7 linked regions of the Daphnia pulex genome follow. The protein of the gene in region 5 purifies or fractionates together with the protein of the main gene of each other region. This does not show direct contact. Links are inferred from orthologs where the notes say so. Each region holds a gene or a part of one and is shown on either strand. Other genes may lie near its edges.

What was found.
Region 1: the proteins of probable small nuclear ribonucleoprotein E (region 5) and splicing factor 3A subunit 1-like purify together in Homo sapiens (affinity purification with mass spectrometry; 3 studies listed by BioGRID and IntAct, counting the BioPlex papers as one, with this or other methods). This does not show direct contact. The link is inferred for Daphnia pulex from reciprocal best matches to the Homo sapiens genes SNRPE and SF3A1.
Region 2: the proteins of probable small nuclear ribonucleoprotein E (region 5) and U2 snRNP-associated SURP motif-containing protein-like purify together in Homo sapiens (co-immunoprecipitation; 3 studies listed by BioGRID and IntAct, counting the BioPlex papers as one, with this or other methods). This does not show direct contact. The link is inferred for Daphnia pulex from reciprocal best matches to the Homo sapiens genes SNRPE and U2SURP.
Region 3: the proteins of probable small nuclear ribonucleoprotein E (region 5) and methylosome subunit pICln-like purify together in Homo sapiens (affinity purification with mass spectrometry; 5 studies listed by BioGRID and IntAct, counting the BioPlex papers as one, with this or other methods). This does not show direct contact. The link is inferred for Daphnia pulex from reciprocal best matches to the Homo sapiens genes SNRPE and CLNS1A.
Region 4: the proteins of probable small nuclear ribonucleoprotein E (region 5) and calcium homeostasis endoplasmic reticulum protein-like purify together in Homo sapiens (co-immunoprecipitation; 3 studies listed by BioGRID and IntAct, counting the BioPlex papers as one, with this or other methods). This does not show direct contact. The link is inferred for Daphnia pulex from reciprocal best matches to the Homo sapiens genes SNRPE and CHERP.
Region 6: the proteins of probable small nuclear ribonucleoprotein E (region 5) and probable ATP-dependent RNA helicase DDX46 purify together in Homo sapiens (co-immunoprecipitation; 3 studies listed by BioGRID and IntAct, counting the BioPlex papers as one, with this or other methods). This does not show direct contact. The link is inferred for Daphnia pulex from reciprocal best matches to the Homo sapiens genes SNRPE and DDX46.
Region 7: the proteins of probable small nuclear ribonucleoprotein E (region 5) and probable RNA methyltransferase Y17G7B.18 purify together in Homo sapiens (affinity purification with mass spectrometry; 3 studies listed by BioGRID and IntAct, counting the BioPlex papers as one, with this or other methods). This does not show direct contact. The link is inferred for Daphnia pulex from reciprocal best matches to the Homo sapiens genes SNRPE and MEPCE.

What each region holds. Positions count from the first base shown.
Region 1 is NC_060024.1:13,065,569-13,069,994, forward strand, and holds splicing factor 3A subunit 1-like, read left to right. Parts: upstream 1-1,606; 5' UTR 1,607-1,818; coding exon 1,819-1,927; intron 1,928-1,984; coding exon 1,985-2,363; intron 2,364-2,432; coding exon 2,433-2,592; intron 2,593-2,654; coding exon 2,655-4,232; 3' UTR 4,233-4,418; downstream 4,419-4,426. Other genes in the region: proteasome subunit alpha type-2, read left to right, coding at 200-240, 301-377, 437-692, 771-1,101. UniProt on the Homo sapiens protein: Component of the 17S U2 SnRNP complex of the spliceosome, a large ribonucleoprotein complex that removes introns from transcribed pre-mRNAs.
Region 2 is NC_060023.1:3,571,494-3,575,710, reverse strand, and holds the start of U2 snRNP-associated SURP motif-containing protein-like, read right to left. Parts: upstream 3,004-4,217; 5' UTR 2,844-3,003; coding exon 2,769-2,843; intron 2,697-2,768; coding exon 2,603-2,696; intron 2,536-2,602; coding exon 2,349-2,535; intron 2,291-2,348; coding exon 2,163-2,290; intron 2,107-2,162; coding exon 2,033-2,106; intron 1,970-2,032; coding exon 1,804-1,969; intron 1,739-1,803; coding exon 1,575-1,738; intron 1,505-1,574; coding exon 1,445-1,504; intron 1,114-1,444; coding exon 1,070-1,113; intron 680-1,069; coding exon 575-679; intron 504-574; coding exon 388-503; intron 332-387; coding exon 217-331; intron 154-216; coding exon 1-153.
Region 3 is NC_060018.1:1,925,093-1,928,306, reverse strand, and holds methylosome subunit pICln-like, read right to left. Parts: upstream 1,785-3,214; 5' UTR 1,598-1,784; coding exon 1,479-1,597; intron 1,397-1,478; coding exon 1,251-1,396; intron 1,147-1,250; coding exon 985-1,146; intron 923-984; coding exon 857-922; intron 775-856; coding exon 701-774; 3' UTR 604-700; downstream 1-603. Other genes in the region: sulfotransferase 1E1-like, read right to left, coding at 1-20; renin receptor-like, read left to right, coding at 1,845-1,890, 1,949-2,076, 2,212-2,520, 2,582-2,749, 2,812-2,892, 2,964-3,078, 3,143-3,214. UniProt on the Homo sapiens protein: Involved in both the assembly of spliceosomal snRNPs and the methylation of Sm proteins.
Region 4 is NC_060023.1:8,902,287-8,906,622, forward strand, and holds calcium homeostasis endoplasmic reticulum protein-like, read left to right. Parts: upstream 1-1,515; 5' UTR 1,516-1,629; coding exon 1,630-1,654; intron 1,655-1,716; coding exon 1,717-2,156; intron 2,157-2,214; coding exon 2,215-2,506; intron 2,507-2,573; coding exon 2,574-3,321; intron 3,322-3,404; coding exon 3,405-3,824; intron 3,825-3,895; coding exon 3,896-4,040; intron 4,041-4,105; coding exon 4,106-4,270; 3' UTR 4,271-4,325; downstream 4,326-4,336. Other genes in the region: uncharacterized protein LOC124197929, read right to left, coding at 1-159. UniProt on the Homo sapiens protein: Involved in calcium homeostasis, growth and proliferation.
Region 5 is NC_060026.1:14,103,721-14,106,520, reverse strand, and holds probable small nuclear ribonucleoprotein E, read left to right. Parts: upstream 1-1,414; 5' UTR 1,415-1,539; coding exon 1,540-1,587; intron 1,588-1,667; coding exon 1,668-1,836; intron 1,837-1,895; coding exon 1,896-1,963; 3' UTR 1,964-2,102; downstream 2,103-2,800. Other genes in the region: serine-rich adhesin for platelets-like, read right to left, coding at 2,498-2,800. UniProt on the Homo sapiens protein: Plays a role in pre-mRNA splicing as a core component of the spliceosomal U1, U2, U4 and U5 small nuclear ribonucleoproteins (snRNPs), the building blocks of the spliceosome.
Region 6 is NC_060028.1:6,108,618-6,113,081, forward strand, and holds the start of probable ATP-dependent RNA helicase DDX46, read left to right. Parts: upstream 1-1,511; 5' UTR 1,512-1,690; coding exon 1,691-1,710; intron 1,711-1,862; coding exon 1,863-2,003; intron 2,004-2,083; coding exon 2,084-2,264; intron 2,265-2,334; coding exon 2,335-2,446; intron 2,447-2,522; coding exon 2,523-2,695; intron 2,696-2,814; coding exon 2,815-3,153; intron 3,154-3,217; coding exon 3,218-3,377; intron 3,378-3,442; coding exon 3,443-3,559; intron 3,560-3,649; coding exon 3,650-3,850; intron 3,851-3,910; coding exon 3,911-3,993; intron 3,994-4,051; coding exon 4,052-4,249; intron 4,250-4,309; coding exon 4,310-4,464. UniProt on the Homo sapiens protein: Component of the 17S U2 SnRNP complex of the spliceosome, a large ribonucleoprotein complex that removes introns from transcribed pre-mRNAs.
Region 7 is NC_060021.1:10,084,303-10,088,556, reverse strand, and holds the start of probable RNA methyltransferase Y17G7B.18, read right to left. Parts: upstream 2,973-4,254; 5' UTR 2,866-2,972; intron 1,155-2,865; exon of another isoform or gene 1,084-1,154; 5' UTR 875-1,083; exon of another isoform or gene 835-874; intron 625-834; 5' UTR 597-624; coding exon 1-596. UniProt on the Homo sapiens protein: S-adenosyl-L-methionine-dependent methyltransferase that adds a methylphosphate cap at the 5'-end of 7SK snRNA (7SK RNA), leading to stabilize it.

The sequences.
Region 1 (4,426 bases), on a different chromosome or scaffold from region 5:
AACAAAAAACAAAAACAAAATACAAAATTTCGCGCGGTTCGTTTTATATTGGGTTACTTCCAACAGATGGCGAAAAACCCCACCTAGCGTTTGAAATTTAAACTCTTCTTCATTTCCCGACCAAGTGTTGAAGGCGCATTCAATTCTGTCCTGTCATTCAATAACTGAACAGAACAGAACTAAAAAATCTAACTAGACCATGGCTTCCGAAAGATATAGTTTCTCCCTAACAACTTTCAGGTTTTCTATCATTTACTTTCTAAGTTTTGACTAAATATAACATTTATTTTCATTGTTTAGTCCTTCTGGAAAACTGGTACAAATCGAGTATGCTTTGGCCGCAGTAGCTGCCGGTGCTGCATCAGTCGGCATTAAAGGTATATTGAAATTTCAGCATGTAAAAGATTGTAACAATGTAAATAATGTTATGTTATAGCTGCCAATGGTGTCGTTCTGGCCACTGAGAAGAAGCATCGGTCAATCTTATATGAAGAACACAGTGTTCACAAGATTGAAATGATTACCCCCAAGATCGGTATGGTCTACAGTGGAATGGGTCCTGATTATCGCCTCTTGGTTCGTCAAGCAAGGAAAATGGCTCAACAATATTGGGTAACTTATCAAGAACAGATACCAACTGCCCAGCTTGTCCAGCGTGTTGCTACCCTCATGCAAGAGTACACACAGTCTGGGTAAATATTTGGTTTTGTCACAAAAAAATAGTTCTTAAATAGTATAGATGAACATTTCAATGAATTTTTGTAATGCAGAGGTGTCAGGCCATTTGGTGTTTCACTCTTGATGTGTGGCTGGGATGAAGGACGTCCATATCTGTTTCAGTGTGATCCATCAGGAGCCTACTTTGCCTGGAAAGCCACTGCCATGGGAAAGAATTACATCAATGGCAAAACTTTCCTCGAGAAAAGATACAATGAAGACCTCGAGCTCGACGATGCTGTCCACACTGCGATTCTTACTCTCAAAGAGGGTTTTGAAGGAGGCATGACAGAAGATAATGTTGAAATTGGTATTTGTAACGAGCAGGGTTTCCGCCGATTATCTCCCGCTGAGGTTAAGGATTACTTGGCGAACATTGCCTAAACGGCTCGAAAATTCTTTGATTTCAAACAAGTGTCGAAAAATAAATCTGATGGTTGCTTAATGAATTTTCTCTTGGATTTTAAAAACAAAATTCCTTTTCTTTGTTCATTGCTAAACAATCATTTTCCTACTATCTTCACTCAAATTGCCTGTTAGAAATCTTAAAATCTATCAGATAAAAGATCTAAAAGATCCAGTCATAATTCCTCAATCAGTTCAAAGTGGTTGTATTTTTTATACTTGATCATTGTTGTTTAACGTTCAAGTTTATTCTAAATTCTTACTACATACTTTCTTCATTTCTTGTATCGATTCAAACGAGCAAACAGATGAATGAACCGAATGAACTATGAATTTGGATATGATTTTGTTTTGGTACTTGACATATATTAGTGAATTCCGTATAATTCAACAGTATAGTTCAAGGGATTCTTTTTCTGAATTGAACTAATAGCAGATAAGAGTTTAACAATTTTTTCTAGGTGGAAAAAAGTGGGAAGAAGTCGGAATCGGAATTCGGAAGAAGTGGGCGCCACACTGAAATTAAACAGTCTGACAACATTGTAGCGGATAGACAGCAACGTTTTGTTGCGTTCTGCTGTTAAAGCCGGAACAGAAAAACGCTATTTAACTCACATTTTAGAAATAGAATCAGTTTTTAATTTTGACGTGAGAATCTGACAATTTCATACATCAGAATAGAGTTTGATAGTCAGCATGCCACCTGCTGTGGAAACATTGCCAGTTTCTGGTGAAGTAAATATGCCCGAGAATGCTTCTACCAAGCCTACTGTCGGCATCATTTACCCACCTCCTGAAGTCAGAAGTAAGTTTGTTGTCAACTTACAAGTTCGTGAATAATTCATAACAATTTTCTTCTTAGATATTGTGGACAAGACAGCCAGCTTTGTAGCCAGAAATGGGTTGGAGTTTGAAGCACGGATTAGGAAAAATGAGCAGAATAACCCAAAATTCAACTTTCTTAATACTGGAGATCCTTATCATGCATACTACCAGTACAAAGTTAAGGATATCAGAGAAGGAAAGCTTGCAGAAGGTGCACCTGCAGCAGCACCTGTCCCAGGCCCACCGGGAAAACCACCACCATCAGCCCCTACATCAGCACCAGCTTCGTTGGCACAGCAGCAGAAACAGCAAGAAATTTTGAAACAATTCCAGCAAGAAGCCCCTGTAATCCCAAAAGAGCCACCTCCAGAGTTTGAATTCATTGTTGATCCTCCATCGATTTCAGCCATGGAATTGTGAGTTTTTTAAATAACTATTTAAATATTATGAAGCTAAAACTTAACAACACTTGTGTCTTATTTCAGAGACATTGTGAAACTCACTGCCCAATTTGTAGCTAGGAATGGTCGCCAGTTCCTCACAAGTCTGATGAATCGTGAGGCCAGAAATTATCAGTTTGACTTTCTGCGTCCTCAGCACTCGCTTTTTCAATATTTCACTCGTCTCCTAGAACAGTACACCAAAGTATTTTGATTGGTAGATTATTTTGTTTGAATGAAAGTCTAAATGATTTTGTTATTCTTTAGGTTCTTATCCCACCGAAAGACTTGATGACCCGTTTGAACGAGGGTTGCACTAATACTAGCGTTGTCTTACAAGAAGTCAAACGACGAGCCGACTGGCAACGTCATCAAGAGGCTCAGAAACGCCGAGAAGAAGAAGAAGCTGAAAGGGAACGCGTGTCATATGCGCAAATTGATTGGCACGACTTTGTAGTCGTCGAATCAGTTGACTATCAACCATTCGAAATTGGTAATTTCCCTCCTCCCACAACCCCAGAGGAGGTCGGTGCCCGTATTCTTCTCCAGGAGCGCTACGAAGAAGGACAAGATGTTGAGATGCAGCTGGAGAGTGAAGAGGAAGACGATGATGAAGAAGACGATTCAGACACGGAACAGACAAAGCCACCACCACCACCAGGCGCACCGCCCTCTCAAGCCATCAAGGGAGATGGACTACAGCCTCCTCCAGTGGCTCCTTCTGCCGAAAACGTCATCGTGCGTAAAGACTACAATCCCAAAGCTGTGGCAAAACCACAAGCCCGTCCGCCTGCTCCAGACGAGTACCTCATCTCACCCATCACTGGAGAGCGAATTCCGGCTAGCCAAGTGGCTGAGCACATGCGTATCGGTTTGCTGGATCCGCGTTGGTTGGAGCAGCGCGATCGACAAATGCAAGAAAAGATGACTCAAGAGTCTGTGTACGCGCCCGGATCAGCCATCGAAAACAGCTTGCGAGCATTGGCTGAACGTCGTACAGATATTTTCGGTGTCGGTGACGAAGAGACAGCCATCGGTAAAAAGATTGGTGAAGAAGAGCGTCGCAAAGACGAGACCAAATGGGAAGGACAACAACCGCCTGCCCCGCCACCATCAGGTGGAGAGGGAGGATCAACGTTCCAACCCCGACCTGGTCCACCTGCTGGCCTGGTTACCATACAAGAGCAGATTGCGCAGATCCACAAGAACAAGGCGCTCATGACTGGCATGAGCGAGGAAGAAGATGGGCTAGGATCTAATGGCGTTGTAGCAGCAGCGCCACCTAAACCTCCACAACAATTAATGAGCATTCCACCAAGACCACCGGTCATGATGTCTGCTCCGCAGCCGCCACCCATGATGATGATGTCCATCCCTCAGCCGCCAATGCCAATGCCCATGGTCCCCCAGAATTCTTTCATGACGCAGATGCCTCAGTCTATGGGCATGATGCAGCAACAGCAGCAGGGTCAGGGTGGTCGAGATGTCATGGAGGAGGAGCCTCCTTCTAAACGACAGCGCAACGAGGATCAACTTATGCCTGAGGAAGCCTTTTTGGTCAGATATCCCGGTCTGCTCCACTTCCATATTGGTGCACCAGTTTACGCCGAAAAACCCGAGTGGAGATTGCAGGGCCAGCAGCTCAGCTTTTCCTTGTTGCCCACGGAACCAATCTCCGTTGTTAAGCAGAAGATTAGTGAAGCGACAGGAATGCCGCCGGCCAAGCAAAAGCTCTTTTGGGAGGGGCTCTACTTCAAGGACAATCATTCTCTGGCATTTTACAATGTTACCCCCGATGCTGTTGTCCAGCTTCAGGTGAAGGAACGAGGCGGTCGTAAGAAGTAAAAAACAATTCTGGAAAATCCTAAACCATCAAAAAACCTCATTTACATCAGTACGGACCTTGGGGGATAATTACGTAATCGGAAAGCATTTTACAACCATTTTGTCTCTCCCTCTGCTACACTGTCATCGATTCCTTCCTGGTCTCAGAAATGGAAATATATTCAACTTTTCTCATTTCTCCATTTATCGGTTGT
Region 2 (4,217 bases), on a different chromosome or scaffold from region 5:
ATATAGGTTTTGACACTATTGAGTGACTCGGTAACGAAATCGATGATTTCCTCGTAAGCTTCGGCGTGCTCGATGCAAAAAATCATAGCTTCCGCTACTTTGGATTTTTCAGGAGTCAATTTTCTCAACATCAATTCTAGTCGTTTCTTTTGACTATGGATTTGAACGTAAATTAGAATTGCTTAATGAATTAGAAAAAATAATTGTAGTAAATACGATTTGCTGAGCGATCGTCGGCGACTCTCATCATCTTCCTCGTCGGACGAGAAAAGTTCGTCTGGCATGCCCTCAGAAAACGGGTTCATAGACGGGGGTTTCCAGATGGAACCGCCTATTAATTTTTAAAAATGAGCGCTGGATAATTTACAGAATAAAAAGAAATTTTACCTTTAAACATGCGAAAGTCTTCTGTGGACCACACATTACCAGACTCGCCTTGTAGGATTGAGAACAATTTCCAGCGATAGTAAATGTGAGCTGGACTCCGGTTTTCAAATAGAAACCTGATTGCAAAAGTAAAAAAGAAATAATAATTACTATCCAACAACATTTTTAGAAAAGACAATTTAGGTACCTGAATTGCTGGTTATCAATTTCCTTGTTCATCACCATGGCCTCAAGCATTGGGCCCTCTCGAACAACAGATTCGATCATTCGATGAATCAAACACAACAAATTTCTGTGTACGCCAGTTCCAGAAAACCAAGTTCAACATACGTATGACACGCACAAATGTCAATCGTACAGATTTACGTGGTGATAAAAATGAAAATGTTAAGATTAGCTACCGACTTAAAAAATTTTGTTCGATGATTTAAAAGAAGTGGGTCAATTGAAAAAGCAAAATTTCTTTCTTTTTTTTTTTGGTCAAGCATTCCGAGTGTTAGTTAAAAGTTTACAAAGGAATTAAATAAGACTTAAGGAATAGTCGCATTGGAAGAATGAAAAGAACAATGTGTTGTTCCTTCGTGACAAAACGTGTATACTCCCTGGGGCTCGGAGGGAGCAGGGTAATGTCACACAGCCGCGCAGCTTCAAGGTATTATGAGGCTTGATCTTTGTTACATACCTGTCTGTAGGGATAACCACTTTGACAACAGCCCTGGATATAATCTGCGAGAGAAGCAGCAAACCCGGGTGAAACATCAACATATTTCCAAACACACAATAGTATGAGAGCAGTGAGACACGAACAACGGTCTTCACTAGCCAAACGAATGCAACGCATGAAAACAAATTTTTGGCTGGGTTTCATCGCTTTCCGCCGAAGAACACAAATAGAAAAGATGAGACCTCCCAACGAAGCGACCGCACACAAAGCACTCGCTTCTTTTTATCCGCCGACCATGAGTAACAATGCCGGAACAGGCGGATAAAAAGTCTCGAGTCTTGTGTCAGTCATATTGCTGGGTTGATTGAAATAGCTTAGCCCATCCCCCAATACCTTGTTGAAGTTCTCCAACGCCTCGCCGTGTGTTGGGTAGGGTGTTCCGGGTGGCGGGATCTGTGACAAGGGAAATATTAATTTCAATTATGTTTGAAAGAACATCTAAGGTACTGCATACCAGCCATACCTGATCAATATCTTGTGGGGAGGGTATTGCATTAAAAGGCAAGCCGGTTGGTGGTGGAGGAAGCGTTTTTTCAAGTAATGCTGGCGGTATGTAAATCGGTCGAGCAGGAATTGGCAAGGCCTTCCCCCATCCGAGTTTCATTTCAAAAGACAGAATATCTTTACCTGTTGAAAAATAAACATTTGATATAAATGCATCGATGCAAAAAACGGAATATAAACTGTCAAACCGTTTAATTTTTTCATCGCTCTCTCTGCGTCTTTTCGGCACATAAAGGCTACGAATCCGCAATTTCGATTCCTTGCTTTCTCTTCCTCAGTTCGAGGCCACATGATTTTTACGCTGGCTAAAGGTCCATATTTTCCAAATGTGTCCATCAATTGTTGTTCTGTCATCTGCAAGGGACATTAAATTTATGTTAATAAAGTTGATAAAAACATGATTTATTTAAAACTTGCCTTAGGGTTGATATTGCCTAAATAAATGTTAGTGGTATTGGGATCTCCTACATCAAATGATCCTGTCTTTTCTTCTGAAACAAAAAAAGTGTGACAAATTTGCTACAAAATGCAATTACAATTTACATACCTATCAAGATTGATCCAAGAGCAAGAGAGCTTTTGCTAGTACTTGGAGAACTCACATTGACAGGCTCAAAGCGACTTGGTTTCAAGTGAGCTTTAACTTTGTGTCGTTCCTCTCTTTCTTCTTGGATACTGTAAGAAAATTTAATTGTAACATTATTTTTTAAATAAGAGAATAATCTAGTTTTACACTCTGAGTTCCTCTTTGAACATCTCAAGATTGCTCTTTTTCTTCTCCTTTTTTTGTAAACTTTTATCTTTTGATTCTTTAGATTCCTTAGATTCATTTGCCTTGGATCTTGTGGAGAAAGATTCTGCTAAGCTCGCCAATTTAGATGTTGGTTTATACAATTTGCCTTTATCTTTGGCATCTTCCTCTGCAAATTAAAATGAAAATATTAAGAAAAATGGCTATATTATAGCATTAAATGTGTAATCTGTTACTTCTTTGACCAGCATCATAGGTACCCGCTTTGACCCAAACTTTACTGACTTTGCTGGCATCTTCTTGAAATGTGGCTACAAACTCCTCAAATACCTAATAATAAATCCAATGAACAATAATATTGAATTATTTGAAGTTCAGCTTCTCCAAACAAATGTGTATCACCTCAGCAGCAGCTTCAATTTCTTCGCGCTTCTTGATTTCTTCGAGTTCTTTACGAGACAGTCCTCTTTTGGCCATTTTGACACAATACACTAATGTTGCAAGAATGTTAAAAAGAAGTTGAGTATCTTCTTATAATTTCACGTCATAGAAGGTTTAATTATATTTCGATCAATCCATCCCACAAGCACTTCATACTATTTCAGCCGATTCCAGCTCGCATCGGCCAAAACAGCGATGCCAATCATTATTATTTTTCTTTTTTGGTCGAGGAATAACATAACACAGAATCAGATCGGCCAATCGGCACATCGCCAACATGAGTCATGAGTATATGAATATGACAACTAAAATTTCGTTGATTTTCGCGTTAGGAAAAAAACATGTAGTATATGTCGTAAAACTGCACCCAATTGTCACAAATGTTTATTACATTGTGTAACAGGCGAGGCCGGCAGTCAGTAGGATCAAATCTGGTGGAGAAGAAAATGCGCATGAGGGCAACACGCGAGCCATCGGCCCCAAAACATGTAAAATTTGTTACAGCCTTATTACAGGGATGATAAATTCCATTGTTTGATGTCACCGTGAAATTGAATGGACTCCAATATCGTCGTATTCCATTGTCGAATCTTTCTTGATTATTCTTGCATAAAATTGCGTTTAAACATTATTACAGAAAGGAACAAGAAATCACAATTTATTGTATAGCGAAAGTCCCAAAAATATTCAACATCACCACTTTTTGTTACTAGGGTAATTTAAAATCAGAAGAAATTATAATGGAATCACCGTAAAATTTTTCCTAATTTAATACTCATTATCCCTAAAGTTTCATTGTTTTACACAATAACTGTTTAATAGCGGAAGTTTTCACTAATACCTCGTTAAATATAACGTTATGTTCTGTTAATTGTACTAATTGTAAATTTCCGTGCATGGCCTAAGTCCCGGCCGAAACAAAACAGATCCACATGAAAGGGTTTTCCAACTTATATAATATACATGCTTACAGAACATCAAAAGCATTCCGTTATTTTGTTATTTCTAGTTTGGGAAATTTTCATTTTGGGTACAACTCGATAGTGACGTTGGGTTTTTCCATATTACATTGCAGTTTTGGCTAGTATATGCATGTATCGTGTATCCTAATTTCCCTTTCCATTATCCCTGAATACAATAAAAGAACGACATTTTTTTCTATGCACGTGTCAAATGAATGGGAAATTTTGATTACAAAACGAATTAACTATTGTGTGTCGAAATTCATACAGCTCATTCAGGTAACCCAAAACTTATCTAATCTTGCAATTAACGAACAATTTTGCTCTATTGCTCATATATTCTCTCCCAAAATTTTTTTTTAAACTTAAATTTAAAACAATTCCGCCAAATTTTTTTTTTTTGCTGATGACCGGTTGATGGCTCTACACTTGGGTTTGCGGTGCCAAG
Region 3 (3,214 bases), on a different chromosome or scaffold from region 5:
AACTCAAAATGCAATGCCATTTTCGCGGGATAAGTCAGGGAATGGGGCGCTGGCGCAGAGTACCGAGAATAATTACCACCGAGGGAGATGTAGCGGAGAAAGTCTGTCGTGCTATGCGTGAGACGCTAAACTCGAGACTGAATCAATATTGAGACTTTCCGAGAGGCTTGAGAACGTTGAACTTTGATACAACCCAAGCTACAGCGCCACCATGACCACAAAAGGCGTTCTTGAGTAGCACTACTGTTATCGATCTTGTCTTTTCTAGTGGAAGGTTCACATAATGTTAACGTCAACCGAAGCTTTACCTCAGAAAAAATGCTAAACATTCTGCACGCTTTGTCGAAACACGTCACATTTTTTTCATTTCAAGTTACCTTAAGAAGTTCTTTTTTTAAAGAAAACCAATGCTTTCTTTACTGTGGCAGCGATATTTTTAAGTTAAAGATTATTAAACTTGTTTTTTTTGTCACACATACAGTTTTTTTTTGCTTCCCGCTTAAAATCTACACATAATATTGGAGCGGGCGCATTCTTTTTTTTTAACTAACCGAGAATACTCGCGTTCATGGCAATCGAACAGTGAGGTGACACCAAAAATTGTTTTACATTAATTATCTCCTATGCTTTGAAGTTTTATTATTTAAAATTTCAAAGAAAGCAATAGTAAGTAAAGCGTGAATAAGGGAAATATGTGCGGTTAATGTTCAGGATCGGCATCTTCAAACTGACCCATGTCTGACTCCATGTTCTCCGCCTCACCATTATCATGATCTTACGAACAATTGAGGTGCACATTGAGAAAAACAATAAATATTTGTCGGATATCAATTAAATGAAATTATATCAGATTTACCATTTTCAGCTGTTTCTGCTCCATCAAGGCAATATTCTCCTTCCTCAGTATCTTCAAAATCTCCTTCTAAATAAAAAAAAAAGTTAATACAATAATCTGCAAAACTTTTGCCTTTTGTCAAATATTACCATCTGAAATTGAATCATTAGGATCAGGATGGAGTGTTTGACATATTGTCATGGCATGGTACATGGCATCAAGAAGTCCCCGATCTTCTGGAATAAACCTTACTTCAGACATATCAGTTTCAGATTCCTCATCCTCAGAATCTTGATTATCTAAAGCTTCATCTTAAAAATATAACTTTAATCAGACAAACCTGGAAACATGAACACATCTCACATAACATTTTCTCAAATGATATTTTAAACATAAATATAGAATTGGGTATTACCGGGTTCATCAAGCCTTGAATCCAACATCAAGTACAAGCATTCCTGTGGAAATGCAGAAGGATCTTTTGAAACAGCATGTAACGATATGTGGGGGTATTCCAGCGAAAATCCCTGGCCAGATGTGGCACTAACCCATGATACACGACTAAATGGTTTGGAATAGGTAAAATTATTTTTCCGTGACTCTTGTAATCGAAAACTTAAATAGAATATAAATATAAATTAACCTTTCTGCAATATATAATGTTCCTTGGCCCAAGTCTCTGGTGTTGATGAAAGCTCCAGTATTAGGCTGAACTAATTTGATTCCTTCGGTAGGCGGAGGAAATGAAGATAATACAACCATTTTTTAAGAAATTTAACGAATTCAGAAAAGAAGAAGAGCAACAATTTGAAAATGAAATATGATTCGAATCACGCTGTCAGCAGCACAACGTTTTAAAAAAAAATTGTAGGCTGCAATGAAAACGTCATCTAGGGACTAAATCATGAACCACGAACACATCACCTGACTTTAGCTGTCACGAGACTCGAGACTGTCAAACTTTTTCTAAAGGCAATTGCAGCTGCTGTTGACCAGACAAGAAGGCAAGATGAAAGTGGCATCAATTGTCGGCGTATTTTGTCTATTAACCTCAGGTAATTATTTTCTAGCGATTGAAAACTACAGCTTTTGAAGTGTTTTGTTGCAATGCAGTCCTGGGAAATGGAGAGTTCAGCATCTTGCACAGCCCTAATGGAGTCAACTTTAGGGGAGATGAACAGCTGAATACAAGTGAATTGCCAAAAATTATTTCCACTGCAATGGGGCACACAACACCTTTTGTAAGTTCTTTCATTCATTTATAACTTTGTAGATTAGGAACTATATGTTTGGTTCCAAACGAAGGAGTGATATTGCAACTTGATGTATCTATGATGAAATCAGTTTGAAGCAATACCATTATTTGCTGTTTTCAGGGTGACTCGTGGAATGGACTTACAGTCTTGAATCCATTTAATTACCCAGAAGTTTCAGTTGCTGTTGTTGTTGAGGGTGTGCAAAGTCTCCAGTTGAGTGAACCCAGATACCCACTAGAGATCACCTCTACTCTTGATCAAGTGAAGGATGATTTCACTTCTATTCTAGGCCAAGTTGTATTTGACGAAAATGACTTATATTCTGGTGAAACCCAGAAGATTTTGGCACTTCAAAAGCTCAACAAAAAGGATGTTGCTGTCTTGCAGTTTCTTAAAGATATTGATGTTTTGATGGATTTAAAACATAAGGTATTTTCATTAGTTAAAAAATAGTGAGAGGTTTTTACACACAATACATTATTTTCAAAAGGTATTGGCAAAATCCGTCTTCAAGACTGTTTGGATCCGCCTTAATGGTTTGGATGATATCATCAGTGTCTATGGTCAAGACTCTGAGCAAGCTTTGGAAGCAGTTACTATTTTGAAATCTGCTCTCGGCGAGCTTCAAGATGCACTAGAAAACACTTATGGCGATCGAGTATGACACAGTTATATTTGAATTCGAAAAATTTGTGTGTAACAATTTTTGTCTTTTTATAGTTTATCCTAACTGCCATAACCATTGAAAGACTTCGCCTTCGAGAAAAGAGGTCTACGACTTCGAATGCCAAAGCAAATAGCGTATGATTTTTTAAAATTTTATTTTCAAATAATAGTCGAGGGTTAAAATAACTTTATCCTCCTTCTTTCAGGAACTGTATTGGAAGTTGAATTTATCTAAACGCTATGGATCGGATTACTCATCCATTTTTAATATCCTTTTATGGACATCCGTTTTCTTGATTGCTGCTCTTATTTCCACCGCTGGTAATTGATTAATCTGAGTTCGATTTTTGCAATCTGCCATAACATTATCCCTTTAATTTTTCAGTGTTTATTTGCACACTCGATCCTGGTCGTGACTCCATCATCTATCGGATGACGACACAGCGCATCAAAAAGG
Region 4 (4,336 bases), on a different chromosome or scaffold from region 5:
GGATATGGCGTTGGGCCCGGACATGGTCACCGTGATGCTGGTATCTGATCGAGCACCACCAGCACAAGTGTAGTTGGGCTGTTCCAGTAACAAACTGCACCCGATGGCACTTAGATCCATGAATTTAGTCTCGTCGTTCAATTCCGCTTTGACTGACATGGTCGTCCGAGCGGAATCCGAGCCTTCCCGGCAGCCAATGTGGCACAACGCATGCCTCGTCTCACGATTCAGCTATCGTCTGCCAGACTCGCATCTCATTCCTCTCACTCCGCAACGTCGGAATACGAAGTTGATTGAAGGTCAACTTTTTTTCAAAAAAGGGCTCGTGTTTTGGCATATGAATCAAACACAACACCCAACCATCTCGGCGCCATTCGACGAGCTACTGGACCTCCCTCCGGATCTCTGAAAATCGAGTGGAAGAAATAAAATGTTGTTTTGAATGATTTGGATCAAATTGAAACGAAAGAGCACTTTACACAATCAGTCAAAAATATTTTGGGTTATTTCATTTCCACTTGAACAAATACACTTATTTCGATTCACACACAATCTGTCGAATTCTTTCCAACGCCAACGACTTTTTTCCTCCAATTATTTTAATATTAGAACAAGGAAGAAGATTTTGTATGCGGCCGATTTGCTCACGACCCGATCGCCGACTAACTTTGCCCACGAAAAACTGGCAAATTTGTTTGTTTTTAGTTTGAATTTTTCTTTTTCCTACACGACGCGCTTCTCATTTTCTTTCTGGTCTGGTGTTCGCCCTTTTTTTCGCAGTTGCTTCCAAATATTTTAAAACTTGGCTCAAGTTGGATGCAGTGTGCTACTATTTTGGGCGCCATACACACACACTCGCATACACACACACACACACACACACACTGCTGATGTATATTATTGGCATTCGCAGCCGCCCACTCAAGCTATTATGTTACCCGAACGGTCGAGAACGGAAATAGGAAGAAGAACAGGCGAAAAAAATGGTCTTCCACTGGTCATCATTGCCCCGAAACACTGTCATATTAAAAAAGAGGTAGTTCATCTGGGACAAAGAGTTATGATATTTGGTGTGTCTTTTGTTGCGACACATCGTTCGATTGGGACCCTGCCAAGAACGCATTTTGAAATAGCGAAGAAAAAGCGAACTGTCCGTTTGAGAGTTGATGTATCTATTCATGTGTGCTACTGCTGTAATTGTTGGTTGACCGATTACTTTGCGTGTGATGACACGACCTGCAGCGCGAGAGAGAGAGTCAGACTCCCCCCCAGCGAGACGAGGAAAGAGATTGGAACTTAACGCGTCAACACATCATATCAACCTTTAATTATGTGGAAAACGAGTTTGAATTACAAAGAAGCATATACTCATAAATATGGAAAGCTGCATTCGATGTATACAAACAAGAAATTTTTCCCCAATTGAAATTCTTGTCACACGTTAGGGAATTTACTATTCGCACCGAACTTCACGCCATCTAGTTTAGCAAAAACGCACCGTTTACTAGACTCTGGCGGAATTCAACACGAACTATTAATGCCGGCATCGAAACAATTCACAGTTGCATATGTATGTGTGTTTTTGATTGCCTAAAGTTTAATTAAAGTTTTAAAACATAAAACTCTGCAATGGATCTACCTCGTCCTCCCGAAGGTAATAACCGTTTAAATTGAAAAATCTCCTCATCAATTTGTTCACAACAAATATTTTTATAGACATAGAACTGCGCAACATTATTGACAAGTTAGCTCAATTTGTGGCGAGAAATGGTCCCGAATTTGAGCAAATGACGAAAAACAAACAACGAGATAACCCCAAGTTTGGTTTCCTGTTTGGTGGGGAACTTTTCAACTACTACCAGTACCGTGTGACAACAGAGCAAGCAATTAACAAGCAAAAGTTTGTCCGAGAGCAAAGTCAACCCATGAGCTATCCAATCAACTATGGCCCACCGCCTAATACAGAACATCCCAGTTTCAATAGGAATTACAACTATGGCCCTTCTTCTGCATGGCCTAGGGCTCACCCACAGCCATCAATGCCCAATCAGATGTCATTTCCTGGACAAAATCCCATCCCTCCTCAAACAGATTTGATTGCTTTAAAAGGTGCAAAAGATGTACTCGTTGCCCAACAAACTCAACTGCAGGAACAGGTAAACATACTCCAGATCATATCAAAAATAGTAAATACTAATTGGTTTGGTTCACCAGATCAAACAAAGTGAAAGCAACTTGGCCGCTCAACATCAAGTGACAGTGCAACAGCAGAAAAAGCAGACAGAGGAAACAGTCAAGTTGCAACACGAAAAAGAAGTCATGGAAAAAGCGTTGGCAAGTGGAATGAATTTGGCAGAGTTAGAATTGCTTTTACTGCCTATCATGGATTCTTGCACCAAAGAATCCATATCTCAGGGTAAAGCTTGGATTCTCCATCATGTGATGCAGCCTCATTCATCCTCTGATGCCATAGCACAATATCTCCTTTTCAAAACAACTCAAAGCAGTAAGTTTTCCTCTGTTGTGGCTACTTGGCATTGCCTGAGCATTTTTTTTTCTTTCTGAATCAACAGGTCAATTTACCCACAAACTTCACTTGATCTATTTGGTCAACGACGTGTTACACCATTGTCTCCGCAAAGGACCCGACACGCTTTTAAAGACACTCGAACAAGTTGTCGTCCACATGTTTTCAAACACTAGTCTGTCTGCAACCGACGAGGAGCAAAACGCCAAATTGCAAAAACTGGTCGTTTTGTGGCAAACGAAAAATAATTTGTTTGAGCGTGGTGTCCTGGAAAGGTTACACGCACCTTTACACATCTGGAATGAATACCACAACAGTCTAGTGGCCAAATACTCGGCAGCCGTAGCAGCTTCAACTAGCAACATTCAGCATACGTACGAAAACTACCGCGGCCAGCATCAAGCCTTCGTCAATCATGCCAACCACCAGATTCAGCAGCTAGAGCAACAGAAACTGCAAATTGAAGAACAAATCGCGGCGGCCAATGCTTTGCAGTCTTTTAATGCACCTCATCACGCCATGCCGCCGGATTTCTTATCTCGCCCGCCGCCAGTTGCTTCCCTTAATGCCCCGCAAAACTACCCGTGTGAAGGAATTGAACCAAAGGCTCCCTACTTCGACTTACCAGCGGGATTACTCGTCCCACTGGTGAGAATGGAAGACAGCGAGTACAAAAGCATCGATCCGAAAGATATCCGCCTTCCTGCACCGCTCCCACCGTCTGAGCGATTGATTGCCGCCATTGATTTCTTCTACAGTCCTCTCTCGCACGACCGACCACGAAACGCAGATGGGTTCGTGATAGATTTCCTTTCTTGTTGGCTTATCATTCAAGCTTCTTCTTCTCAACTTTTCTCTTTCTTGTTTTTTTTTTTAGGTGGGAGCAGATGGCTCTTTTCGAGTTTTATAAGAACAAGGCAACTGCGAAAAAGAAGAAAGAAGAAGATATTGCTCAGGGATTACGCGACATGTCGCCGCCTCGAACTCCTATCGAAGTTGTCGAGGATCATTCCCCTGAAAGAAGTGGTAAGAATGGAATCAGAAGTCCCGTGCGTCGAAGATTCCGCAGTGAGTCGCCCGAGGAAGAGCATAGAGAAGAATCGAGGCAAGCTCGATCACGATCCAGATCGCCTAGAAATTCAACAAGACGTCGCCGAAGTCGATCTAATTCAGAGTCGCCCCGTCGAGCTGCACGCTCTCGTTCTCCTACACCTAGTCGTTCGGAATCAAGATCTAATTCGCCCGTCACGATGACCGGTTTTGCGCAAAAGCGGAGCCCCACGCCACCTTCAGAAATGTAACCAACCCCTTTTTTTTCCTTAAGTTAGGTCAATGTGATTTGGTTAAATTTGATTCGGCGTTTTGCAGTGCATCCGTGTCGTTTGCCAAAGGTTTCACGACAAAGCTGGACGAAAACAACCGAGGGCATCAACTCTTGTGCAAAATGGGTTGGGGAGGAGCTGGACTCGGCGCAAATGAACAAGGCATAGCGGAACCCATCAAAGGAGGAGAGGTATTGATCGAACGGTACTATTTTTGTGTCAACAGAATAGCGGATTGATATTTTTCGTTCTTCAGGTTCGCGATCGTTTGGACCAGTTCAAAGGTGTCGGTATCAATATACGTGATCCTTTTGAAAATTTCCGAAAAAGCAAAGGTCAGGCGTTCATCACGAGAATGCGCTCAAGGGCCGAAGAACGAGAAAAAGAAAAGGGCGGACCTGACGATCCTCCAACTCCATGAGAATTCACTCACTCTACTTTTGCTTAACTCACGAAATACAGTCGATTCGTCTATACCTTGATATCC
Region 5 (2,800 bases):
AGCGGCGATGCCAATTTAAATGTAAATAGACTTTCTTTTCTTTCTCATTTTTCATGCCAACGTAAAATTTGAAAATTGACTTTTACCAATTTTGAATTAAATACTGTAGGTGAGATGTGACACAGTGACACACTTGGCAAATTAAAACCGTATGTTTTATAGTTACGTCAGAGAATGCCCTCGACCCCTCGTATGAATATGTCCTTATCTTCTTTTTAAAAAAATTATTCCACGAACAGAACAGCGAAACTCATTGTGGATCCCAAGGCGAGAACAGCCCAAAAGTTGACATTAAATGAAAAGTATTAGCAGTATTAGCTGTGATTCTGTGAATTTTTCCAAGCAGCAAGCATCAGTTGTTGTAAGGAAAGGAACGGCAGATCGGCGCAGAACGGCCACACGCCACAAGGCCACAGCCCACAGGCCCAGTCAGCAGAGTAATAGAAAAATATATTAATTCTACAGGTTTTTTGGCATACGGGAGGATTAGTTCAAATTTCGCCAATAGATGGCTTTTTGGAATTTTGAACTGCGCGCGTAGAAATTGGAAAACGGTTTGAACTGCGCGCCTCGAAAATGAAAAACAGTTTGAACTGCGCGCGTAGAAACTGGCATCTAGGCTCTAGCGACCAAAAGTAAAAGTTAACTGGCATCTATCTAGGCTCTAGGCGGCCTAGAGCCTCCGCCACAGCACACACCTAAGTCACACCCCAATGTTTGAATGTTTGACATAACTTTTGAATGTTTCGATATGTTTTAATTGATTTCGATATGTATTATTTTTTATTAGTATACGATTTCAAGTAAAAATATCGAAATAACTTAAACGAAGCGTAAGAGAGGGTGGGTGTTGTGGTTTGGTTTGTTCTAACTGTTTACAGATTTATCTGTAACTATAACTAATTATTTTTTATTTCATATTGCTTATGAAAATAATAAATTTTGCTGTTACTTAAGCTAAAAAGAGAGTGCGACGTGGGGTGGCGGGGCGAAGCCTCCGCCACACCTAAGTCGCACCCCTTATGATTCACAGATATTTTTTGATGTTCCGATAGGCCTTGTTTGATTGATACTATTTAATGTAAAAGTATAACAGTAATTTAAGCGATTAACGAAGCAAGAGGGGGGGGGCGGGGGTGGCAGGCGAAGCCCGTCCCCCCTCCCATTCACCATACCGATAGATTCATGTAATTAATTTTGAATTTCATGTTTACTTTACTTTTGCTTTTTTAAATTTTTAATTGATATTATTTCCTACGGGAACCTCGCAAACCGGAACGGGATGCCAGCATAAAAAAAGTAATATTCTGTTACTCTGGCTTGGCTGCTTGGCTGCTTTGCCTGCTTGCCTTTGCCGCCCTTGTCTTTTTGAAAAATATCGGAAAATCCCTACGAGGAAATAAATATCTGGCAACGTTGTTGGCAATTGAGCGTCTGTGTTCGTTTCTTCTTCAACAAAAAGTGTAAACTCAAACAACTCTCATTTAGAAATTTGATAATTTTCCCGTGTGGAATCAATTAAATATCAATTCAAGATAAATGGCAGCCCGAGCACCTAAAGTCCAGAAAGTGATGGTTCAACCCATCGTAAGTTTTCACCACTATCACTTCGATTTCAGCACGAAGATTTATTAACCGGCACGTGTGTCAAAAATGTCTTTTTCCAGAACTTGATTTTCAGATACCTTCAGACAAGATCAAGAGTAGACATTTGGCTTTATGAGAACATCAACATGCACATGGAAGGACACATTGTTGGATTTGATGAGTACATGAACATTGTTCTCGATGATGCAGAGGAAGTCTACGTCAAAACAAATGTCAGAAAACAGATTGGTAATGACGTTTTCATTTACTCACAATTATTCTGTCTTCTAAATGCTGTTTTATTTTAGGACGGGTGTTGCTGAAAGGTGACAACATTACTCTAATCCAAAATGCTGCAGGAAGTGGAGACGACTAATCTTCCTATATTAATTGGTCAGAATGCATTCCCAATTTGTGTTCTGTCGTGTATTACCTTTGATTAACGGGGAACTGATTTTGTGTACATCCAATCTTGATGTGCTGACTGATAAGAAAAACATGATGCTACAACCACACTTGAATATTTCATTCTCAACATCTATTTATTATTTTTTAGTTTTATATAAATTTCCCTAGTAATATTTTCCAATATTTATTTTGATGAAGCCTAGCCACTTTTACACATGAAAAATGTCTCCGGCAAGAGAATAATTTACACAATGACAAGAATAATCATGTTTTGAAAACAAGTCATTTCATGTGGACTACAATAATAAAAATAACCTATTGCACAACATTGTGTAACCACTTAAAATAGAAGGTACAAGTATAAAATCAATAAAAGTATCAATGATATCAGCCTGTTAGGTGGGGGGTGTACAACATAGCAAAGAGTGAAAACTAGCAAAATTTCAGACCCTAAAAATAAAGTAGTGTTTAAAATAATTACACATACATAATTATCAATTTATTATGACACTTCGATAACAGAGAAGCTGTTGCAATTCAAACTGGAATTGCTATTGTGTCTAGAACCGCAGCCCGAAGGCGAGGGTGACGGGTTGGACGACGAATCTTTTATTATTTTGCTGTTGTTATTATTATTCGACGTAACCAAGACTTTGCCATCCAGGGCTCCGCATGAATAGCGTTGCGTTTGACTATCGCGGCGTGATCTGCTGCTGGCCACTCTCAACAAGACCAAAGTCTGTTGCTGGCTGTCGCTAGTTTTACCGTTAGTTTTATTCAGTTCCAATTCCAAATGGATGTTGGT
Region 6 (4,464 bases), on a different chromosome or scaffold from region 5:
TTATTTAAATAGCCACCTATCCATAATGCGGGAAACTGGGTTTGGTTAATAGGCTGAATTTTGGGGGTAAAGAACGAAGCGAAAGGTGGGAAGAAAGAAACCCTCCCCCTCCGAAATAAAAAGTGTGAAACAAAACCAGACAGGCTGGTTGGAATAGCCGCAGGCTCACTGTCATTTTTTCGACAAGTGACGAGAAAACCAGAAGCTACCAAATCTAGCATTAAAAAGCGGGAAAGTTCAAAGGAATCGCCTTAAGTCATTTGTTTAATAATCGGCAATGAGTTTAAGTCGGTTAAATAAACTTTTCGCGCCATGAAAATTCCAGACAGCCTGTCTGATTTCATTCGTATTTCTTTTTGGGGGGGGAGGGGGGAGACATGGCCAATGGCTAATTACTCCTTTTTCTTTCTTCCCACCTTTCGCTTTGTTCCTTACCCCCCCAAATTCGGCCTATAAACCAAACCCAGTTCCCCGCCATATGGATAGGTGGCTATTTGAAAAAAAATCGCCGTTCGGATTTTTTTGAAGGATACTGTACCTTTCCTATTATATCGTGGTTTTGGCTTCCATTACTCCAAGGACAGAGTAATAGATAATGGTGTACCCACTACCATGTTAACTCCTCCTCTCGGAAATTTTTCCTAGAGCTGCAGCGAACATCACGACTCGATAGTGAAAACTGAGCTTAGGTATCTATGTTTATCCTCTATCACCAACGCCTCTTGCTACCGAGCGAAACCTTCGGCAAAACCATTCCCCATTTCCCACCACACCTGCTGTGGCGCTAATTTTAAGAGCTGGGAAGTGGAAAGCTAGAAACACTTTTAGGGAAAAAGGAAATGGAAGGCCTCCTGTCCTAGTGGCTACACCATTATCTACTACTCTGCCAAGGAGGTCTACAGACAATTATTTCTTTCTTTTCTGGGTTGCAACCATTATACTTCTAACATCGAGTCCACCAGTCAAGGAGGCCGGATTTGGGGGTCTGGGGGGCTTATCATTTTTGGGGAATTGGTGACAAGGCATCGCAGTACATCCCCAAATAAACCATTTTATCGGAATTTTACTGTTTTTTGTTGTTATAGTTTTGAATTCTTCACGAAAAACTATGAGGGCCCACCAGAAATTGTAGCGTTTTTTCGGGTTTTTTACATCAGTTTTCGGGTGAACCAGGCCGTTTAAAAAACGGATTTTTCAGAAGATTTTGCCCCTTTCCACAGACGTCTTGCCCCGTTTTTTATCTAAGCTTTATTGGCAGAGATATAAGGGATTTAAAATCTGGAAAATTTTCCGCCATTTTCTAACGATTTTCGTAATCATCCCACTTCATTTTGCAAGCCATCTACCGGCCGATTTTGAAAACCCTCTGGTGTGTAGGACAAAAATCTGAATAGCCGGGAGAAGAAATTTCCCTTGCATTTTCAAAATCTAGATATTATTTATAAACATGGATATGGAAAAGACAGGACAGGACAAAGTTCATTTTGCAAAAAGCTAGCAGCAGCTAGTAGCCTGAGCAGAGCCCTGAGCTAGCAGTTGGCAATTTCAATTTGTTTGAAGTAAAATTCATTTTAAACATGGCAATGTTGCCTGTATCTGTGTATCAAAATTGACGCACTCATGTGCATTTTGTATTTAACTCATTTCATTGCAAAATTTATTAAGTATTCCGAAATTAAACGTCTTTTCGATGGCTCGTGACGGACACAAGTATAATTGTTATTTTTATTTAACTTATTAATTCATTTATTAAGTAAAATAATATGCAGATTATAATAACGATATAGATTATGTAAATTTTTTGTTTACAGTTTTTCATTGCTTAATATTATTATTTTATTTACATTTCTCATCTACGCTAGGCATAATAAACGATCCAGAAGCCGAAGCAGATCCAGTAGTCCTCGTTCTAAAAAACTTCGAGAACGAGATAGAGATGGGGAACACAGGCAAAGAGACAGGGAACGTGAAAGAGATAGAGATCGGGACAGGGAGCGTGACAAGTAATTAATTTTTCATGTTTACAAAAGATAGTCTGATCCATGTTAAGAAGTAAAAACTACCTTTTTGTAACATTTTCCAGGAGAAGAAGCAGATCAAAAGATAGAGATCATGATAAATCTAAAAGATCAACAACAACTTCAGAACGAAGAATTTCAAAATCCCCTGATAGAAAACCAACTTTAGTCGAAGAAATTAAACCTGTTTTGAAATCTGAATCAGAGCTAAAGGAGGAAGCAGCTGTTGCAGCCATGATTGCCAAAGTAAGTTGTTCTATTTTTTAATATTTTGAAAGGGTGTACATTGTTTGTTTGTCTCTTTTCTTGCATATAGGAAGAGGAGCAGAAAACTTTGGACTTGGAAATGCAGAAACGCCGAGAACGAATAGAAAAATGGCGTTTAGAACGAAAGATGCAGGAAATTGCTCAAGTTAAATCTGATCTAGGTAATAATCTAGAAATAACTTTTTAAAAAAACTGACTGTCTTATATACTTCATAATATTGCCATCCTTTTAAACAGCCAATCAAAGAGCTGGGAAAAAATGGTCACTTGAAGATGATGAAGAAGAGGAAGAGGAAGATGGAAAATTGAAAACTGAATCTGCTAAAGTTGAAGCAATTGAAACGATCAACGAAGAAATTGAAGTTCAAGAAGCAGAGGAAGAAGTTGACCCTTTAGATGCTTTTATGCAGGTACTTCAGAATATCTACATGTGCCGATTTGGTTTTGCCGAATCGACATGGATTCGTACCTTACTGCTTACACTAGTATTTTTAAATCAACATCTATTTAATTTAAAAAAAAAAAATAGGACATTCAAAGTGAAGTTCGAAAGGTTCAGAAACTTGACGTTCAAAAATCAAAAGGATCTGGCGTGATGGTAATGACCGGAGTAGCAAAGAAAGCTGCTAAAAAGAAAGGTGAGCTTGTGGAACAAAATCAGGACGCTTTGGAATATTCCTCAGAAGAAGAGTCAGAAGACTTGGCATCAGCAATGTCCGGACTGGCGAATAGCAACATAAAACAGAAAGAAAAAGTTTTTAAAATTGATCACAACAAAATCAACTATTTTCCTTTCCGGAAGAACTTTTACGTGGAAGTACCCGACATAGCACGTATGACCCAAGAAGAAGTAGATGAATACCGACAGGTGTGTATGACTGATACAATTGCTAGTGCCCCAGGACGTTAAAAAAAAATTGTTTAACATATAGGAACTTGAAGGCATTAAAGTTAAAGGAAAAGGGTGTCCGAGACCTATAAAAGCATGGGCACAATGTGGTGTTAGTAAAAAGGAAATGGAAATTCTAAAAAAATTAGCATATGAAAAACCAACCCCCATTCAAACGCAGACAATCCCTGCAATCATGTCTGGTACACAACAACGAACACTTTTTTGTTGTATAAATTTTAAAAAATACTATTATTAAAATATATAGGCAGGGACATAATAGGTATTGCCAAAACTGGCAGTGGCAAAACACTGGCATTTTTGCTGCCTATGTTTAGGCATATTTTAGACCAGCCTGCATTAGAAGAGACTGATGGGCCAATCGGTACGTAGTGTTTAATATCATCGATGTATTTATTTTATTTTTTTTTATTATTATTATTATTTTACCTTCATAAATATTCCACTGTTTTAGCTATCATAATGTCTCCTACCCGAGAATTGTGCTTACAAATCGGCAAAGAATGTAAAAGATTCACCAAGTCATTGAATTTGCGTGTGGTGACGGTCTACGGAGGAACGGGAATATCAGAGCAAATAGCTGAACTAAAACGTGGCGCTGAAATTATTGTGTGCACACCCGGAAGAATGATTGATATGTTAGCTGCCAACAACGGTAAAATTTACCTATAGATTAACTATTAAAAAAGTGTCTTAATTTTAGTCTTTGAAATAGGACGTGTCACCAATTTGCGGCGTGTGACTTACATAGTTTTGGATGAAGCTGATCGCATGTTCGACATGGGTTTTGAGCCACAAGTAAGCAAGATAGTAATACTTCGTCGGGTGACTAGAAATATTTATTCCTTTTATATAGGTAATGCGAATCATTGATAACACTCGCCCTGATCGACAAACTGTTATGTTTAGTGCTACATTTCCCCGTCAAATGGAGGCCTTGGCTCGTAGAATCCTAAACAAACCTGTTGAAATCACGGTTGGAGGTCGTAGCGTTGTTTGTGCTGACGTCGAACAGCATGTTCTTGTTATGGAAGACGAACAAAAATTTTTGAAAGTTAGCTTTTTTCTTAAATTAACAATGAATTTTTGTTTATAAACTAATTTATTTTGGTAGCTTTTAGAGTTATTGGGGGTTTATCAGGAACAAGGAAGTGTTCTTGTATTTGTTGAGAAACAAGAAAGTGCTGATGACCTGCTCAAAGATTTGATGAAAGCTGGATACGATTGCATTTCCCTTCATGGTGGTATTGATCAGTACGATCGTGATTC
Region 7 (4,254 bases), on a different chromosome or scaffold from region 5:
ACAGCGACTTGCTTGACTACAGGGAGATCCAATGTGAGCGTGCTCAATTCGGGTGAATGTCGTCCAGCATCCAGTACTTCACTGGCGCTATTGGTCCTCCTTCTTTTACGGTTTCGTCCTCTCTTTTTTCTAGAGACGGCATTCGGAGATATTAACGCTCTTTCCGCTAAATTATCATCTGGCATACTCAGGTTTAAAGGATCCCTTATATTTGATGGAATTAATACTTCAATTTCTTCCTTCCTGTGTTTAGGGGTTGGTAACGGAGAGGATTCTGGGGTATGCTCATTCAAAGCTTTGTTGATTCTTTCATCTGCTAGACTGCCCAAGTTCAACGGGTCTCGACTATTGCCTCCAAGTAGAAATTTTGTTGGTCTCACAAATTCTTCCTTGCGTCTTCTCTTGAAGTGATGTTGCTTGCTTTCAAATGAAAGACTGAGACTTCTTTTGCGCTGACTGCCTGTTACTGGTTTCACCATTTTTTTGGGACTGACAAAATGTGGAATAGCTTCTACAGGTCTGTCATCCCCTTCTGCAGGAAAATGCACCCGCTTCATTTGTCCAATACTGAGAGAGACTACTTGGGTTGATGCCATGATGTTTCATTAAATTTGCTTCAGCAATCTGTAAAAAGAAAACAGCTTTACAATACACACATCTCTCTGCTTAAACATTGACACACTAAAACATTGCAATTTTAGAAGTTTTTAATGCAAATTCTAAATAATTTTCAAATTTAAATAAATCCACACGCTGTGCAGCATCTAGCGGTCACGCCAGAAACCTCACATCATAAACGTATTTTATAAACAAAGAAAATTAACTATAACCTACTTTTTTGGCTCCAATACAATTGGAAAGGATGAGTTATTACCTAGAATTAAAATTGAGTTGGCAAAAGTGATGATTTGTGTTCCAATTTCTGGACAAGGTGTATCCTGAGCAACCTTGTCTATTCGACGTTCTGATGCTTCTGCTCCTTTCTTTGCGTTCAGTCCCCATACCCCAGTAATAAATACATCCCCTCTCTCATAGCAGCGTTGCACAATTGGCAAAAAAAAGCACTGAGCATTACATGTGTACCTAGTTTAAGAGAAACTGAATTTGCGGTTGATCGAGAATTAATTGCAGTCAGGTTATGCGCTTATGGAAATCCAATATTATTGAAAAATTCTATAGCTTAGTAATAGATAAAAATTAGACGTGCATTTATTATGTACATCAAAAACTAAAAGTGACGGATAACGTAAAAAACTATTCGTTAAAACTTCATAAAGTTGTAAGACATTAAAAAAAATTTAATCCATATTATAGTGCAATTTAAAAATACTTCAATTTCAAGCCATGTCGACGAACATGATGAATGATTTTATTTCCTCCTATTTGACTTAATTATGTGTTAAATTGTGAATCTGTTACTACTCAATATATTTTGTTGTATCTTATAAACTCGGTTAGGTTACTGTAACATTTCTAGGTGTACTTCCTATAATCGAATTCAAAATTTTTACTAAATTTCTGTTTCTGTCATGCAGGGAGAAAGTGACATCTCCTACGTATGCAATTACTAATAATTACGCATGCATCTGTTAAGACTTAAGAATGTAAAAACGAGTTATCCAAGTTTATTAAGAATGTAAATAATCTTGCCATCATGTGATTCGTAATCATATATAATCCAATCATATATTGGAGATCTAAATTTTCCAGAATTCGATTCAGCCATTCAGGTACTCAATAAAAACGTTTTGTTAACGTTTCGTTCCACGCCATCTAGTTTCGGTGTATGATACTATGATCACTCCATCGTTTTCGTATAGATGGCGAAATTTTTAGTTTTAAGTATAAAGGTGCAATTTGCAGCAGCTCAGCAAGAGGATTAATGCGGCACGAATAAAAGAATCGTCTCTTGTCGCATTCGTAGGACAGGTATACACGTAACATCTTTCCATTCCTCTAAAAGTTATCTCACAACTTAATTCCAAATAAAAATTGCTTTATTGAATTGCTGATCTTTTTTGATAATTTGATTATGTTCATGTTTGTTAATTGTTGTAGAAAGCCGCAAGCATGAGCGTACATAACACCGCAGCACCGTTGTGCATTGTTGCATGATTTGCTTTATCCTATTATGAATTGAAATAATTCTGCCGTGATGGTTCTTACCACCTACTTTGGCTACCGTGTCAAGTAAGTTTCACATCAAAATAAATTTGAATTTCATATTTGCCAATGTACGCACAAGTCTTACATCAAATAGGTTTGTCACATTTGTTCGTGGGCTGAGTTAAATTGGTCACTGATTGCATCTATCAGTTGGTCATAGATCTTATAATTCTTCCTCGACAGAAATTAATTATAGCAATCTGAAAATCTGGTCGGAGTAGGGAGAGGCCGATAGGGATCTAAAAGGGAATATAAGAAATCAATAGATGGCGTGGCTCATGAAGTAAAATGCCACAACTTGTCGACTGCCTGCGTGTTTGTTATACACATATTACGAATATACGTCACACAATCACACCACGTACACGACATCTATCTACCCATTCTCTTCCCCCTATTTCGGCGTTCGGCATACTGGCTTCACCCTTATAGTAATAGCTAAACAATGTTAACTGTAGATGTTTAAAATCATTCTCTTGATTATTTATCTCTTGATTCTCCCTTTCAATATTTAACCTAAAATTTCTCAGTGTTATAATTAATTAGTTAATCTTTATAATGCGGTAATTCTTTGTGAGCATTGATAGCGCCACAGGCTATATGTTAACTTATAACTAGCGCCAGCGGGAAAAGGTTGCAAATTTGAAGCACATAATGAAATTAGCTTTCACCCTACAAAATCTTTGCTTATGTACTTACGGTTTGGTAGACCCTATATCTTGAAATGATATTTAGGATATGATAGTGACATGGAATTGGCTTCATGGAGAAAAAGCAGTAGGCTACCGTCGAGCGTAGACGAAACAAGAATAAATTCACATGCTCAAATGTTGAGACATACATGATTAAAATGGTCATCTTATAACATAAAAAATTGAGGTCAATGATATGTAACACAGTGCATCTGAATCTGATATCGTGTTCGATGCAGAATCACATTACCAATTTTATCTATTTGCCCGTCTCATTTCCACTGATTTTACTTAATTTTAGTCGAGTTTTTCCGTTTGAAACATATTATTTATTCCCAGGTTCGCAGCTAAAAAAATGCCAATGCTCTTGCTATTTAACACCCTTAACTATTTTCCTCTTCGAACTCCATCTGATGATAATAACTCATTTCCTTTCTGTTCCTTCAAGTGTTATGAGTTTACCAGAACACCAGCGGAGGCAACGAACTCATTTCTAGAATAAGCTACTGTCAGTACCGCTAATAGAGACACGCGTGTCTCTATTCTATCTGATAGATTTTATTTATTATTTTTTAAAATTCCAAATCTCTAGTTTTGTTATCAAGTTTATTGCGATATTTAACAAGTAATTCAGAGTGTTAGCTATTAAATCAAATTAATTGAAACCATTGGGAACATTTTTTCAAAGCGAAATTTTTTTCAAAGCGACGATCATTTTGCAGTCGTTCAATCAGTGCAAGCAACGCGTTGCCTCCGGGTTGGATATTGCTTCCAACCAGAAATCACGCTCATCCAAAAATTTAAAAAACAAAAACAAAACAGTGTTGATCTTTGATTCCGTAATTGGAGATGGACAAACGAGACGAACGAGACACAAAAGCATTCAATACGAGACAAGTTATTGCCAACTTATTTATGCTGCTGCAACCGTTGGATGTGTTTGTCACCAAAAATGGTTTCATTAAACAGCCTTATTCAGCCACAGATTCTTGCAGTCACTTTGTGCTGATAGAATACGTAGTATATGCTGATTATAAGGCATAAATGCAATAATTTGTGTAGTAAAACTAATAAAACTCTTCACAGTTTTCCATTTCCTTTTCTTGACCGCAGTCGAGATTCTTATACTGTAAATGTGCGCACATCAACTCGAAGAGGGAAGAAGACTCCAACGCTATGGCTGCTGGCTTGCCTATCTCGATAGATCTAAATAGAGAAAGTATCCTGACAGATACAAACGACGTTACTTTGACGCTCAAAACGATACGCATCGAGTTTTTTCCCTATATATTTCTTTTGTTTTCGAATTTTCAAATAAGGCCCTGTTTTTATTCTACCTTTTTTCTTCTTTCTTTTAATGTCATTCTCTGTTATAGGCGAGGCGTTCTCTATAAAC